Linked DNA regions of Danio rerio. The protein of the gene in region 1 interacts with the protein of each later gene in a biochemical or structural test. Links are inferred from orthologs where the notes say so. Each region holds a gene or a part of one and is shown in the gene's direction. Other genes may lie near its edges.

Region 1 (4,098 bases):
TTAATCATGAGCATGTCTAAATATACATGCATTAAAAAATTCTTTAATTATATTGTGACAGCAATTCATGAAATCAGGTTTTTATATTACCTGTGTGGCATTTTACCAATTTTCAACCCTGTTATACCCCGTTTCCTTTTGTTTTAAAACAGCCAAAATGGTAAACAAAATATTTAGTTATTCATGACGTTGTCAGGTTAATCGCTTTGCTTTTCTATAAGTCCCTCACAAGCGCTCAGAAGTTTGCCGGATTCATATGTAGAGTATGTTCAATGTATTAGTTGTTGGTATGTTTCTGTTATCAGGACCTGCCATTATGTAGGAAAAAGGCCCCCATTTTGTCCCAGAGCTTGTCCATTGTTATGCCATACCATGTGTTTTTTATTAGTATGAACCATTAGGACATGCACACCGGTTCTACTGCATACTGCTCTCCAATGCTCTGTCTCTCATCACAATCATCTGTTGCAGCCAACAGCAGAGATTTGTTCAGTTGCAGTTCGGTCAGATTTTGTTGATTTCTTGCTGTATACTGATTGATAGACCGATATATTGACCGAGACGATTAACCGGATGATATTTGACCACTGGAGACTTGCTGTTCATTTCACTGTCTTTTAGGTTTTTTTAGGTACAAGTTACATTCATATGCACTTCAGTAAAATTGGATTGCTTTTCCAATGGCTCATACTGTTGACACCAAGCGTGATAATGATTTAAAGATATAATTCTATATATTAATGCATGACATGTCTATAATAGTAATGACAAGGAGAAACAATTTTTGGGAATTATGTTCCTCTTTACTTTAATAAACTTGGGCGTTTTAAATGGATAATGACCCAAAAATGAACGATTACTGCTTCTTAAATGATTCCAAACCTTTTTTTTTTCTGTTGAACACAAAATAAGATATTTTGAAGAATGCTGGAACCCGGTAGCCATTGACATCTATAGTACGTAATACAAATACTATGGAAGTCAATGGCTACAGGTTTCCAGCATTCTTCACTGCTGTGCAACAGAAGAATTAAGTTTGGAGGAAGTAGAGGGTGCATAAATTGACAGATTTTAGTTTTGTTTAGATTTTTTTCTCACTTTAACACATTATTCCAGGTGGAAACGGGGTATGCTTATCATTTTATGTGTGAGCAGGCCTTAATGATGCTTTGATTTATCTAATTGAGAATGATTTTTTTGTGAGCGGCAACCTAAAGGTCTGTTTTCCTGTCTTTCAGATTTTGGCTCTCTGTTTGACCTGGAGCATGACCTCCCAGATGAGCTCATTAACTCCTCCGACCTGGGCCTTCCAAACGGGATGGACCCCAGCCAGTTGCACACCAGTCTGGGTGGAGGAGGGATGTCAGGCCCTTTGGGCGTCTCGGGCCAAGACACTGCGGCCAAACACAAGCACCTGTCTGAGCTCCTCCGCCCTGGTGCTCCTCCATCCGCCTCCACGGCCACCGGCAGCCCCGGTAACGCTGCCTCCTTAGGAATGATGGGAGGTCTGAGCGGTGGCCCTGTTACTCAGGGAATGGGTGGCCCTCAGCAGCAGCCTAGCATGATGCCGCAGCCTGGCATGGTGGGGGGACTGAACCGAGCCATGATGGGCACCCAGAAAGGGAATGGACAGCCGCAGAGTATGATGGGTGGGCAGATGATGAATGGTGCACCTAGAATGGGCTACGCCAATGTGAACATGAATGCAGGCATGGCTGGCAACGGGAATATGCTGCCCGATTCTCTGCAGCAGCCAAATGCAGGGCAGCAGATGGCACAGGCAGCAATGAGACCGCAGCAACCAGGAGCAGTGAACAAGGTAACGTGGGAACAAATCAGGGTGTAATAATGAGAAAAAGGATTCTGTGTGCTTGTACAGATTTTTATTTGTATGAAAAGCTTTTGATTGACGAAGACTTGTACACACTTCTGAATGTGTATCCAAATTTACTTTTCTATTAAGATACGAACAGAAAATACGGGAAATATTAACATAAATTTACAAAACAAAACTAATTAGGATAAAAATGATTCTTTAAGTTAAAGTTGGTGTTTAATGTGACCTCCCTTGGCATTTTGAACAGTTTTGTTGAGTGTGTCCTGTCGAATTGTTCAAATAATGGGCTATGTAATATAGGGCTGCAACTAGCAATCATGTTGATAATTGATTAGTTGGCCAATATTTTTTTTCCAGATTAATCTGATAAAGTGCTGAGTACTTTTTAAGATGTGACCTTTTGCTTATTATGGCTGTATAAAACTCTAAATTAGGCTGTTATTTATGTGTAAATGTCAGTACGTCCCACATGTTTGAAATATACTTGCTGTGGTAGCCGGATTGAAAAACGCCATTTACCCGCAGCACATAAACAGTTATACTATGAGGTATGAATATATAGTATAACTGTATATTTAGTATGTTTTTTAACGTAATTACATTTTTAACAATTTTATTTATTGTGACACTGTTTTAAACTGTTTCTTTTCAATGATTTAAAGTAAAAAGGACTGTTGGAATAAAAAAAGTAATCCACTATTTCTCTTATTTTATGCTAAAAGATAGCCTATGTAATATACTAATATCAGCAAATTAATAAAATAATCAATAAATGAGAAATAAATGGAAGAAAAATGAATTCTGTTATACGATTATTTAAATAAGGCAAATGCGTTGAATAACTTAATGGTTTACATTTTGCAGCCAGTTTAGACCAGTCATTTTGTCCTCTTCTAATATATACTAAAGTTTTTTTGAGTCGTTTAGATTGAAAAAAATGAATTGTTGAATGTTTCTCTTGCTCGCACAACTGTGTATGCGCAGTCAGTCACAAACTTAAGCGAAAGTTGAATTAAGTAATAAGGTAATGCAAAAACGCATAAGAGCTTTAGAAAGCAAAAGCAAAAGTTGTATCCGGACATTTTAAGAGATTTAGAAACCTGGGCCGGACTAATTTTATAAGTCCCGAAAAAGGCATATCTCTGTGGGTCTGCAAAGCATGTGCGACGGTCTGTGGGAGTGTTGACAGGTCTGACGCGCACAGAACAAAACGGGTGAATGAGAAGATTTTTCGCTACTTAATCGAATGTGGATGCTTGGTAATTGGATGTTAATAATAGTAAAAAGATGTGTCACTAAATATACTTTAGCATCCGTTAATTTACCTGGGTTTCCCGCCCAACTAAAGTCTATGTATAGGAAGCACTGAAAGTGTACTTAGAAATATATATAAAAGCCGCATATTGAGGTCAATGATCTTTGATTTTGACATTTTAAATCTGTCTAAGCGGTTTGTTTTAGAACGGTAAAATTTTTCTAAATATCTAAAATACAAGCAAAACAAGTGTTGTACACCTGTTATATTCACATTATGAAATTAGAACATAAGCATGCCAAGATTGAGATATTAAATGGCAGAATTTGTTGAAATATCAAAATTATAAATAATAAACAAATAAACAGCAACAATTTCTTTTTGAAACAGAGGAAGAAATCAGCTAAAATGAGCTGAAAACCATAACATAGACTAATTGTGATATTCTACTACTGCTGTTGTCTGTTGATTTTAAATATGGAGTCTCTCACTCTAATCCCACCATTTAATTTAAGCTAATTTAATTTAGAGCCAGTACTTCTGTCCCTCGAAAATTCAGTCTTTCGTAGAGTGAGGGGTATTATCCTTTTTAAGGCATTTAATGTAAAATTTTTTGATACCTTGGAGGACTAGGGGTGCATGATTTTTTTCCATCAGCTGCTTCTGTACCTGCCATTGCACGAGGGGCTTTCTATCTTGTCGTCATGCTTCTCAGTCACTTGAGCAGCCCAACTAATCTGCTATGCCATTCATTGACAATCAATTTCATTGTTGATTTTACCCATAGTTGTATATCAGATAATGTAATTAATAATTATTATGAGGTATGTAATTGTAGTTAATATCAGGGCTCTTTCGGCACTTCCCTAGGTTTTTCTTTAGATTTAGGCTTTCCTTCCTTCCTTCTTTCCTTCCTTCTTTTTTTTTACTACATACTTATACAGTACTGCCAATTTAACTTATAACTAATTCAATTCACCTGTACTGCATGTCTTTGGACGGTGGT
Region 2 (4,263 bases), on another chromosome or scaffold:
TATATATATATATATATATATATATATATATATATATATATATATGAGAAAAGTGATAGAAATACCACTGATGATCATCACAAGATAAATAGGTTGTTAAACAGTGTATAAAGTCCATATTTTGTATCCAGTGGCACTGTGCTCGAGTGTTTGATCTGTTGTAACAAAGTGAAACATGTCAGAGACCATCAATAAGTGCTAGAGTAACAGTAACACAAAAAAACTGTCTTCTCTTTACTTTGACCTATATGCTATAAAACAGTAGAATCAACCATATTTTAATGTACTCATAACAAAAACTAATTAATAAAATAAACAATAATAAAAACGACCATTCTTGCAAATGTCCATCTCAACATTACCTGTATATTTATCTTACTAATGTTGTTATAAATACAAATAAACTAGCTATTGTGTCTTTACATACGTTTAAGCAACGTCAGTAAAAATCTCAGAAAGTAAACTGAAACGTCACTTGTCAGCTGTCACGCTATATTCGATCAGTTTGTGGTTGTGGTTGACGCAGTGACGTTTAACAGGGTTGTTTGCACTTTTGAGAGGATCTCTAGGGACTGTCACGGATACGGCGGCTGGACTTTGTGGCACGCTGTCACTCCACAATAAGAAACGCCCCCATTTTTAGACCATTGGCTGACGGAGCAAATGCACTTTGGCATAAAAAAGCAGACTATAGCCCTGTTTCTTCGTGCCAGATTAAATTATGTATGCCTGTATAACACTGAGGTTTTTAAACTAGGGTTCGGGGACCCCCAGGGGGCCAACAAGGGAGTGCTGGAAGTGAAGAAGAGTAAAATTAGCAAATACTAATTAATTCATAATATATTTCAACGACTGATTAAAAAAAAATACTTTTAATCAGCTAATCTAACATTATATTCAAACAAAATGAGTAACATCAAGTTATGCTTATTTAATTTATTATTTCAGAAGGCATTTCTTCTATTTTTTTTTCGTTTTAAATCTCCCTCAACATTTTATTGTAAGGTTGGAAATTAGTTTCACTGACTCCAAACTGTATTTCTAATATATATTTTTTACCTTACTGATGTATATGCAATACATTAAACTGGATCCAGAGAGTGTTTGGAACTTGCTGTTGTTAAAGAATGGCCGCGTCTTGCGAAACTCGCGCAAGAATTGGTCAACTCTCAAACATACAGCGGCACACATTTATTCTGCCTCTTCTTCTCAAACTTATAGTAAAGTTTAAGTTCTAAAAGTGGCGCGTTGTACATTACTCTGCTTCTTTGTATCCCGCCACGGTCTAAAACAGCTAAGCGGGTAACCAGATATTCAAAAACAATACGTAATCCCACAATGCACTGCTTTACAGCATTACCTCATCCCATCAGGCACCGCGAGTAGAATCTTCTGGGTGGTCGTCTAGGCAACGCGCCTTATCTGAAATTGTGACACGCCCAGTAAAACGCCTCCAGCCAATGAGAGGCTGCGCGCATTACATCATTTCTATTTTTAGTGGGGCAGCGGTAGCAGATAAGGTTTGCCTCCACGCTGGAGAAGCTCAGAGTATACAGACCTCGCCACAGTGAAACACCTCACTCAAACCAACATAAATAAGCCTTCGGCTAAGCACTGTTTATCTGCTGGTGTCTGAGAAGCGCGACAGCGGCGGAGGAAGAACTTTCTATCCGCGGAAGGCAGGAGGAGACGAGCCCGTGACACTGGCGATAACTTTACGCAGTAAGTTTCTCGCGGGACGGGGAGTTGAGGAACTTTTCCAATCCTCTCGCTTTTGTTCCAAACACCGCAGCGCTCGTTACTGAACGCGGACAGTGCTTAACAGCGCCTAAAAGACTGCTTCTGAACTAAAAGTTTCGCTTTGCCTTCTATGTCTACCAAGATGGAAACTACTTTCTACGATGACTCTCTAAACAGCGCTTTCTCTCAGCATGACAGCGCCACTTTTGGATACAACCACAAGGCTCTGAAACACAACATGACGCTCAATCTGTCCGACCCCGCGGGGAACCTAAAGCCCCACCTGAGGGCCAAAGCCAGCGATATCCTCACTTCTCCCGACGTGGGACTTCTCAAACTGGCATCACCGGAGCTGGAGAGGCTCATCATCCAGTCTAGCAACGGCATGATCACCACGACGCCAACTCCGACCCAGTTTCTGTGTCCCAAGAACGTGACGGATGAGCAGGAGGGGTTCGCGGAGGGCTTTGTGAGGGCACTGGCTGAGCTGCACCACCAGCACATGCCCAACGTCACCTCGGCTCCCCAAACTACTATCAACAGCAGCATGGCACCGGTCTCGTCCATAGCGGGCGGTGCGGTCTACAGCTCAGCCATGCGCGCTGATCCGCCGGTTTACGCGGATCTGAACACGTTCAACCCTGCTATCAGCAGCAGCTCGGCCAATCCAGCCGCGATGAGCTTCCCGAGCGCACCACCGCAGCTGCCCGTCCAGCACCCGCGCCTCCAGGCCCTGAAAGAGGAGCCCCAAACGGTGCCCGAGATGCCCGGCGAGACCCCACCGCTCTCTCCTATCGACATGGAGAGCCAGGAGCGGATTAAAGCCGAGAGGAAGCGCATGAGAAACAGAATCGCCGCGTCCAAATGCCGGAAGAGGAAACTGGAGAGGATCTCCCGGCTGGAGGACAAAGTCAAGACCCTGAAGTCGCAAAACTCGGAGCTCGCGTCCACCGCCAACATGCTGCGCGAGCAAGTGGCACAGCTCAAGCAGAAAGTCATGAACCACGTCAACAGCGGCTGCCAGCTCATGTTGACACAACAGCTGCAAACCTTCTGAGGAGAGCCGAAGGACATTTTGAGTTCAGCCACATAAACAAACTTCAGGGGCTTGATGTCTGCGATCTGGCGCGACAGAGCCCGCGGGGACCGGGACCGTCCGGCCGGCCGCGTGCCGTTAAAGGATGATCCGACTGGACTTTTGAGGAGCGCAAAACTTCACTCGGTCCGACAGAGACGCAGAGCGCATGAGACTCACTCTGTTACATGTTTTACTTTCTGACGAAATCCTTGTTCACATCGACCAGGTTGTGCATGGACCTATACGCTTCAAAGGAGCACTCAGTATTATAGGAGTAAAACAGAGACGCGACTGCCGTACAGTAGGGATACTGGCTCACCAAGCAGGACGTTGTGTCTGCTAAACTTTTGATAAAAAAGCTGCCTGACTTCTGAGCTACATATTGTACTTTTTTTGTTGTTCTTAAATTGAACGGAAATCGACTTTTTTCCTTTTGAGTTAGTCCAACTTAAGCAGTTTCTTTTTCTAAAAAAAAAGTTCATTAATGAGGTTTCACTCATTGTTATTTGTAAATATGATCAACCAGGAGTACTTAAGTTTACCATTTGTAAGTAAAGTACAATAATTTTTTATGTTTGTTTTCTGAGCACCTCAGAAACTAATCAATATTTATGAACTGTAATAAAGTATGTCAAATGAAAAACAATGTCTCTGTTGTCTTAATGGAAATGACGCTTGTGTGTGTATGTGTGTGTGTGTTCAAATTGACAAACATGTAATAACATGTTTTGGAAGAGACTGGCTGTTTTGTAAAGTCCACAGACAGGACTGGGAAAAAAGGGTGTCAAAAAACATCCTTACAGTAATTAAAAATAATAACATTATAAATACATGCTTAATTGCTAAAGGTTAAATGCAAACTTAATATAACATTTTTACATCAAAATAAAGCAGACACATAATTTGATTGACTCTTTAAATCAGTAATGCTGAAATTATCAAGTAATTATCACACAGTCAAGTACTAAATAGACCAATGCCTTTAATCATGGCCTCATTTTTGTGTCAACTGAAACAAAAGTTTATTAAGGTTAGTGTTAGCCTGCAAATATGTTAAAAAAAATTGTAGAAGTTGAAGATGTATACAAGTTTTAACAATTTAACCAGCAACAATGACTTAATATTAAATTAATAAATGGTTGAAATTTAAAAATACTCCTTATAACAATAGTGTGTTATTTAGGCTATCAAATGTTAAAACTGATGAAAATGATTTACTAACATTTATAGGCAAATAATGCTGCAAATAATAAACACCCATTGTAAATTATAGTTCACCCCAAAATAAGAAATTGACTCACTATTTGCTATTTACTCACTATATTACTTGCCTTCAAGTGGTTTCAAAGCTTAACAAGTTTCCTTATTCTGTTGAACAACGCAAAATATGAATATATAAAGAGTTTAGATGCAAAACCTCTAAATGCCATCTTAAACTTTCATCA
Region 3 (4,635 bases), on another chromosome or scaffold:
TTAGTGATAGTAATTAAGCAAATAAATTATGTGATTAGATGACAAGGTTGCAGTTTTTAAATCTCATTTTAATGCCTCGTTAAATACTGTATTGTGCAAATAATAATAATAATTTTTACTTCTGTAACGTTTGTAGCTACTACACTACAGCTCTCTGTAAACTTAGCGCTACTGCAACTGTTTTGTTAGTGAGATAAATAGCTTGGGATATGTCTCATTTGCAAGTCTCTTTAAATAAATGCGTCGACTAAATGATGACAATAAGTAACCTGTTAGTAATTACCCTTGCGAAAATCCAGTCCTGAGCGTGTGTTTGCTAACACCTTTTATCTGTCCTTGACATGAAAATGGAGAAATGAAAAGGGAAAAGACAACGCTCCAGTTCCATGTTTTCTTTAGCACCTTAAAAAACGATACTTCAGTTGATTGACGTTGGCTTTATCCAATCATCGCTCGCAAAGCGTCAAGTCTGTGTTCGTTCGGCCCAATCGGCCAATAAGAAGACTTTAAGACGCCATATGGAATTTCAATCAGCCATGTTGGTGAGGTAAAGACGTACACCATTACATTTTCCCCGCAGCGTGCAAATTTTAAATTTCATAACCTATCTAAACGACGAAATGTATGTCTATAAAACACTGCGTTTACTGAGATTATCCGTTGTTTTTCATCAGGCATTCGAATCATTCATGTTTGCAAGTGCGAGTGAGATTCCGCTTAACATCAGGCATCTAAAATCGCGACTTTTGTCTTGTTCTAAATAGAAGAACCAACTGTGTATTATTTTTGTATTATTTCTTAACTATATCGTGTGTAAAACCCTACACAACTCCTTAGGATAATATTTTACAAAGGCTACCCACTTACCAGTGGAAACATTGGTAAAGAGGCGGGTTTTAAGAACTGTCAGTCAAATGTTGAGCAGGTTTCACCAGTGGGGCGTCCACAAACTGCCGCAATATTATATTCATTCAGCGTGACCTTTCGTTCAGATAAAGAAAATGGTTATGCGCTTCCTAAAACAAATAAATGATCATTTTAGTAGTATTTGTAACCTCTGTGCTTGCATACTGATTAGATACATGTTTGTATAGTTTACAAGACAGCGTTTTGTGAAATTTTAACATAGTGTTTATGAATAACGGGGTGATAAAATATTGTATGATGACAATTAAATGTCACTAAATGTAATAACACATCAGGAAGCATGCATAACACACTAGACCTGGCTGGCTTTCTCTTTGTGAAATCGTTGTTGTTTTTGTTTGTTTTGTTTTTTTAGCCATTGAGTCCATCTAGGCCATCCATCATTGTGAGGTTGACCAGGATAGTATATATCGACAGTTATTCCACACATAAATGAGTCAGAGGCTGGTTTGAAGGCGGGGTCCGACTTTGTAGAAATACTGTCCATTGTTCCATCAAGACCAATCTGCGAAGCAGAGTCGCTGGCATGTTGACCAATCAATGGACAGCGCCCGCCTCCGAGCTCCGCCTTCCTTCTATAAAAGTGCTCTGCCGCCGTCTGAGCTCGCTACAGACCCTTAGTAGTCTTTTTTATCATTCGCATCTCGTGTTTCTCTTTATATTATTTTATTCCGAGACCCCATTATAATCTTAACATTTAGGAAAAATGGCTGACACAAAAGTCGATACCAACAAGGACGTCTCCGCAAAGGTAATGAATACAACTTCGGCTTACACTGATTTGTAAAGATGCTGCTTTTTATTCATATGAGCAGACGAGCTGTATGAAATATGGATTGTGGAATGGAAATCAGCATACAGCTTTATTGGGATATTCTTGGCAATTTTTTGTAGGTGTTTTGTCCTCTCACTGTCACTTTGAAGACTTCGTGGATGTAAATTCGTGAAGTGGAGATTTTTACGGACACATTTGCAACTAAAAGGCTTTTTGTTCGTATTCTGCGCGGGGTCTTTGTTTATGCAGGAGGATTTTCGGTTCCTCTTTAAAAAGTATAGTGAAAGAGATGGACGCAGAGGATCGTAGGCATTATCTCCAGTCTGCTCATTTGGTTTAGTTGCTCGAGTTTGATTATTACTTAATACAGACTCGGATATACTGACGGAGCCTCGTAGAGTCCGCGAGACGCGGTGATTCGTCAGCCCGCAGCTCGATCTGTCACAACTTACCGCAGCCCTCACGATGTCTGATGCCTCTGTTTATAGCACGTTTCCTTGATGTTTAATGTAACGTTAGAGCTGCTTTCTTTTTGACTAGTGTTTAAAACCCAAATTTATCATTGGGATTATTATGTTCAGAACCAACCTGCTTCACATGTACGCTCCATTCAGCGGGACTTTATCAAGGGTTTAATTCACGTTGCCCTCTAAGTTCTGTCAAGTTCGGCTTATAGTTCACTTTTTGTGGTGAAACAGAGTTCATCATACAAGATTGATCAGCTGCTTATGAGATTTATGTGGATCTAGTCTACCTGAACCTACTTTGCACAGCGTCGGGATAACGTTAGGTGATAATTAACAGGAAATAACAGAAAACGAGGCTCTTCTTTTGGTTCACGGAAGAACTGGTTAGTCTGTATCGAAACATGAAGAAGTTGCTTCTATCAGCGATCGCAGCTTGTGCGTAAACTTCTCCGGCGAAACCCCGCTGCGGATGCAGCAGTCTGGCGGACTGGATGAGCTCTATTGTCGCGCGCGGGCAGCGCAGCAGGAGAGCGCGAAACCCGAAGTTACGAGCACCCGTGCAGGCAGCGGCTCTGTTTCACGCTGCTTATATTTGCAAACAAACTAGATCGACGCATTTGCAGGTTGCTTCTCGCTGTGATGCTCCTTCAAGCGATTCACGCACGAGCGCCGCGTTATAGGACGCAACGGCTTCATTCATCTTTTAAAATGTAATCTCGGGATCCTACATCTATCTCCGTTGCGCTGCGCTCCGTCGGGCTGCCCGAGAGCGCAGGACCGCGCGCTGGTGAACGGCCCCGTTCAGTGCATGTAGCCGAGTGCGCGCTTCTCACTGGTGTCCTCACTGGTGTCATACGAGGATCTCCTACTCCAGTTGTGGACACAACATTTTGACCTGTTTGTCCTTTGTTGCATCTCTTGTTTGCCTACGGAAGACGGAGATGATTTCCGCTTCAGCTTACTGCCCACATTGTTTGTTTGATCAATAAATGGGTCAGTATTATCTCGTAGACAGTGGCAAATGTCCATTATTCATGTACGGCTCACTGACGCTGTGAAGCGGCATGTAGTGGTGACGGTGTGTGAGAAGGCGTTGCAGGCGTGTTGTGGACACTAACCGGCTTAAAAGCTGAGGATTATGACCTAAATTTATTAATGCGAGCGAGCTGCTGCATGAAAGCACATCCTGGTATTCGGGACGATGCGCTTTTATACGGAGATTCAACGTGTTAAATAATTAGATAAATAGCATTGCTCATCTTAATAGTAATGGTCATTCTCGAGAGAACAATAGTATAGTGCTCGAAAAAGACGAATTATTAAAGGCCTTAATGCACAACGCTATTGTTCCCCCTCCTCTCGCTCTCTCTCTCTCTCTCTCTCTCTCTCACTCACTCACTCTCTCCTTTTCTGAGGTTTATCGGTCCTGCCTCTTTTCGGTCGAGTTCGCTCTCCTATTGGCTGACTTAAAATACTCACTAATTGTGATCTGGGAGTTGTAGTTTTTTAGCGGGCGTGTCTTCATCAAGCGTAATGATGTGGATAATAAACTGAACTACAGCGCACTTTGGCGGTAACGCCATCGCCGTATCAAATTACAACACCTCAATATGGTCTTTAAACCAGGCGGGGATGGAAGAGACAGGCGTCCAATGAATAAAGAGAGAGAAAGTGTCGCGTTTCAAATGTGAAATGAAAACACGTTCCGCGAAGATGAGAGGATGTGAATTTAGCTCTGCTCACGCTGTTTAGTTAAGAGAAGCAACCAAAGAATTTACAGAGAAATATTTTGTTCCTTATTTAGGACCTCAAAGAAAAGAAACAGGTTGAGGAGGCGGAAAATGGAAAGGATGCTCCCGCGAATGGAAATGCGGTACGATTCCAAATAATTACTTCACAACATAAAGTTTTCAGTACTAAAAGACCTCAAGTACGACCATTAATAACCCATAATGCTATTATTTTAGGAAAACGAGGAGAATGGAGATCCAGAAAATGAAGTAGATGAGGAAGACGATGATGTGGCTGAAGAAGATGAGGAGGATGATGGAGAAGGTATGTTTATTTAATGAAAGTAAAAAAAAAAAAAGCTTTTAAAACATCTGCTGTGGGTTTAAACAATTGACAACCAAAATGTGTAAATAAAGATGAATTACTAAGGTATTACCACATTACAGGTGATGACGATGATGAAGATGAGGAGGCTGAGGGTGGAACGGGAAAAAGAGCGGCTGAAGATGATGATGATGATGAGGCAAGTTTACACTTTATGTTACTGAAATCCTCAGATAAAAGTAAATTCCTCAGGCTGACCAAACGACTTCAGTGTGTAACTCTGACCCTTTTTTTCCAGGATGATGTTGATCCCAAGAAGCAAAAGACTGATGTGTAAAAAGCTTCACTGCTGGAAATGTTCTCATCCCTCCTTTCCTTAACTTGTTCATCAGGGGAGGGGTCAAAAAAACG

What was found.
Region 2: the proteins of ep300b (region 1) and jun form a complex in vitro, tested with the Homo sapiens proteins (5 studies listed by BioGRID, with this or other methods). The link is inferred for Danio rerio from reciprocal best matches to the Homo sapiens genes EP300 and JUN.
Region 3: the proteins of ep300b (region 1) and ptmaa form a complex in vitro, tested with the Homo sapiens proteins (2 studies listed by BioGRID). The link is inferred for Danio rerio from reciprocal best matches to the Homo sapiens genes EP300 and PTMA.

What each region holds. Positions count from the first base shown.
Region 1 is NC_133178.1:23,792,263-23,796,360, reverse strand, and holds part of ep300b (histone acetyltransferase p300), read left to right. Parts: intron 1-1,238; coding exon 1,239-1,819; intron 1,820-4,098. UniProt on the Homo sapiens protein: Functions as a histone acetyltransferase and regulates transcription via chromatin remodeling. Acetylates all four core histones in nucleosomes. Histone acetylation gives an epigenetic tag for transcriptional activation.
Region 2 is NC_133195.1:16,778,274-16,782,536, forward strand, and holds jun (transcription factor Jun), read left to right. Parts: upstream 1-1,601; 5' UTR 1,602-1,870; coding exon 1,871-2,797; 3' UTR 2,798-3,461; downstream 3,462-4,263. UniProt on the Homo sapiens protein: Transcription factor that recognizes and binds to the AP-1 consensus motif 5'-TGA[GC]TCA-3'.
Region 3 is NC_133181.1:32,300,864-32,305,498, forward strand, and holds the start of ptmaa (prothymosin alpha-A), read left to right. Parts: upstream 1-1,533; 5' UTR 1,534-1,633; coding exon 1,634-1,678; intron 1,679-3,973; coding exon 3,974-4,042; intron 4,043-4,136; coding exon 4,137-4,224; intron 4,225-4,346; coding exon 4,347-4,561; 3' UTR 4,562-4,635.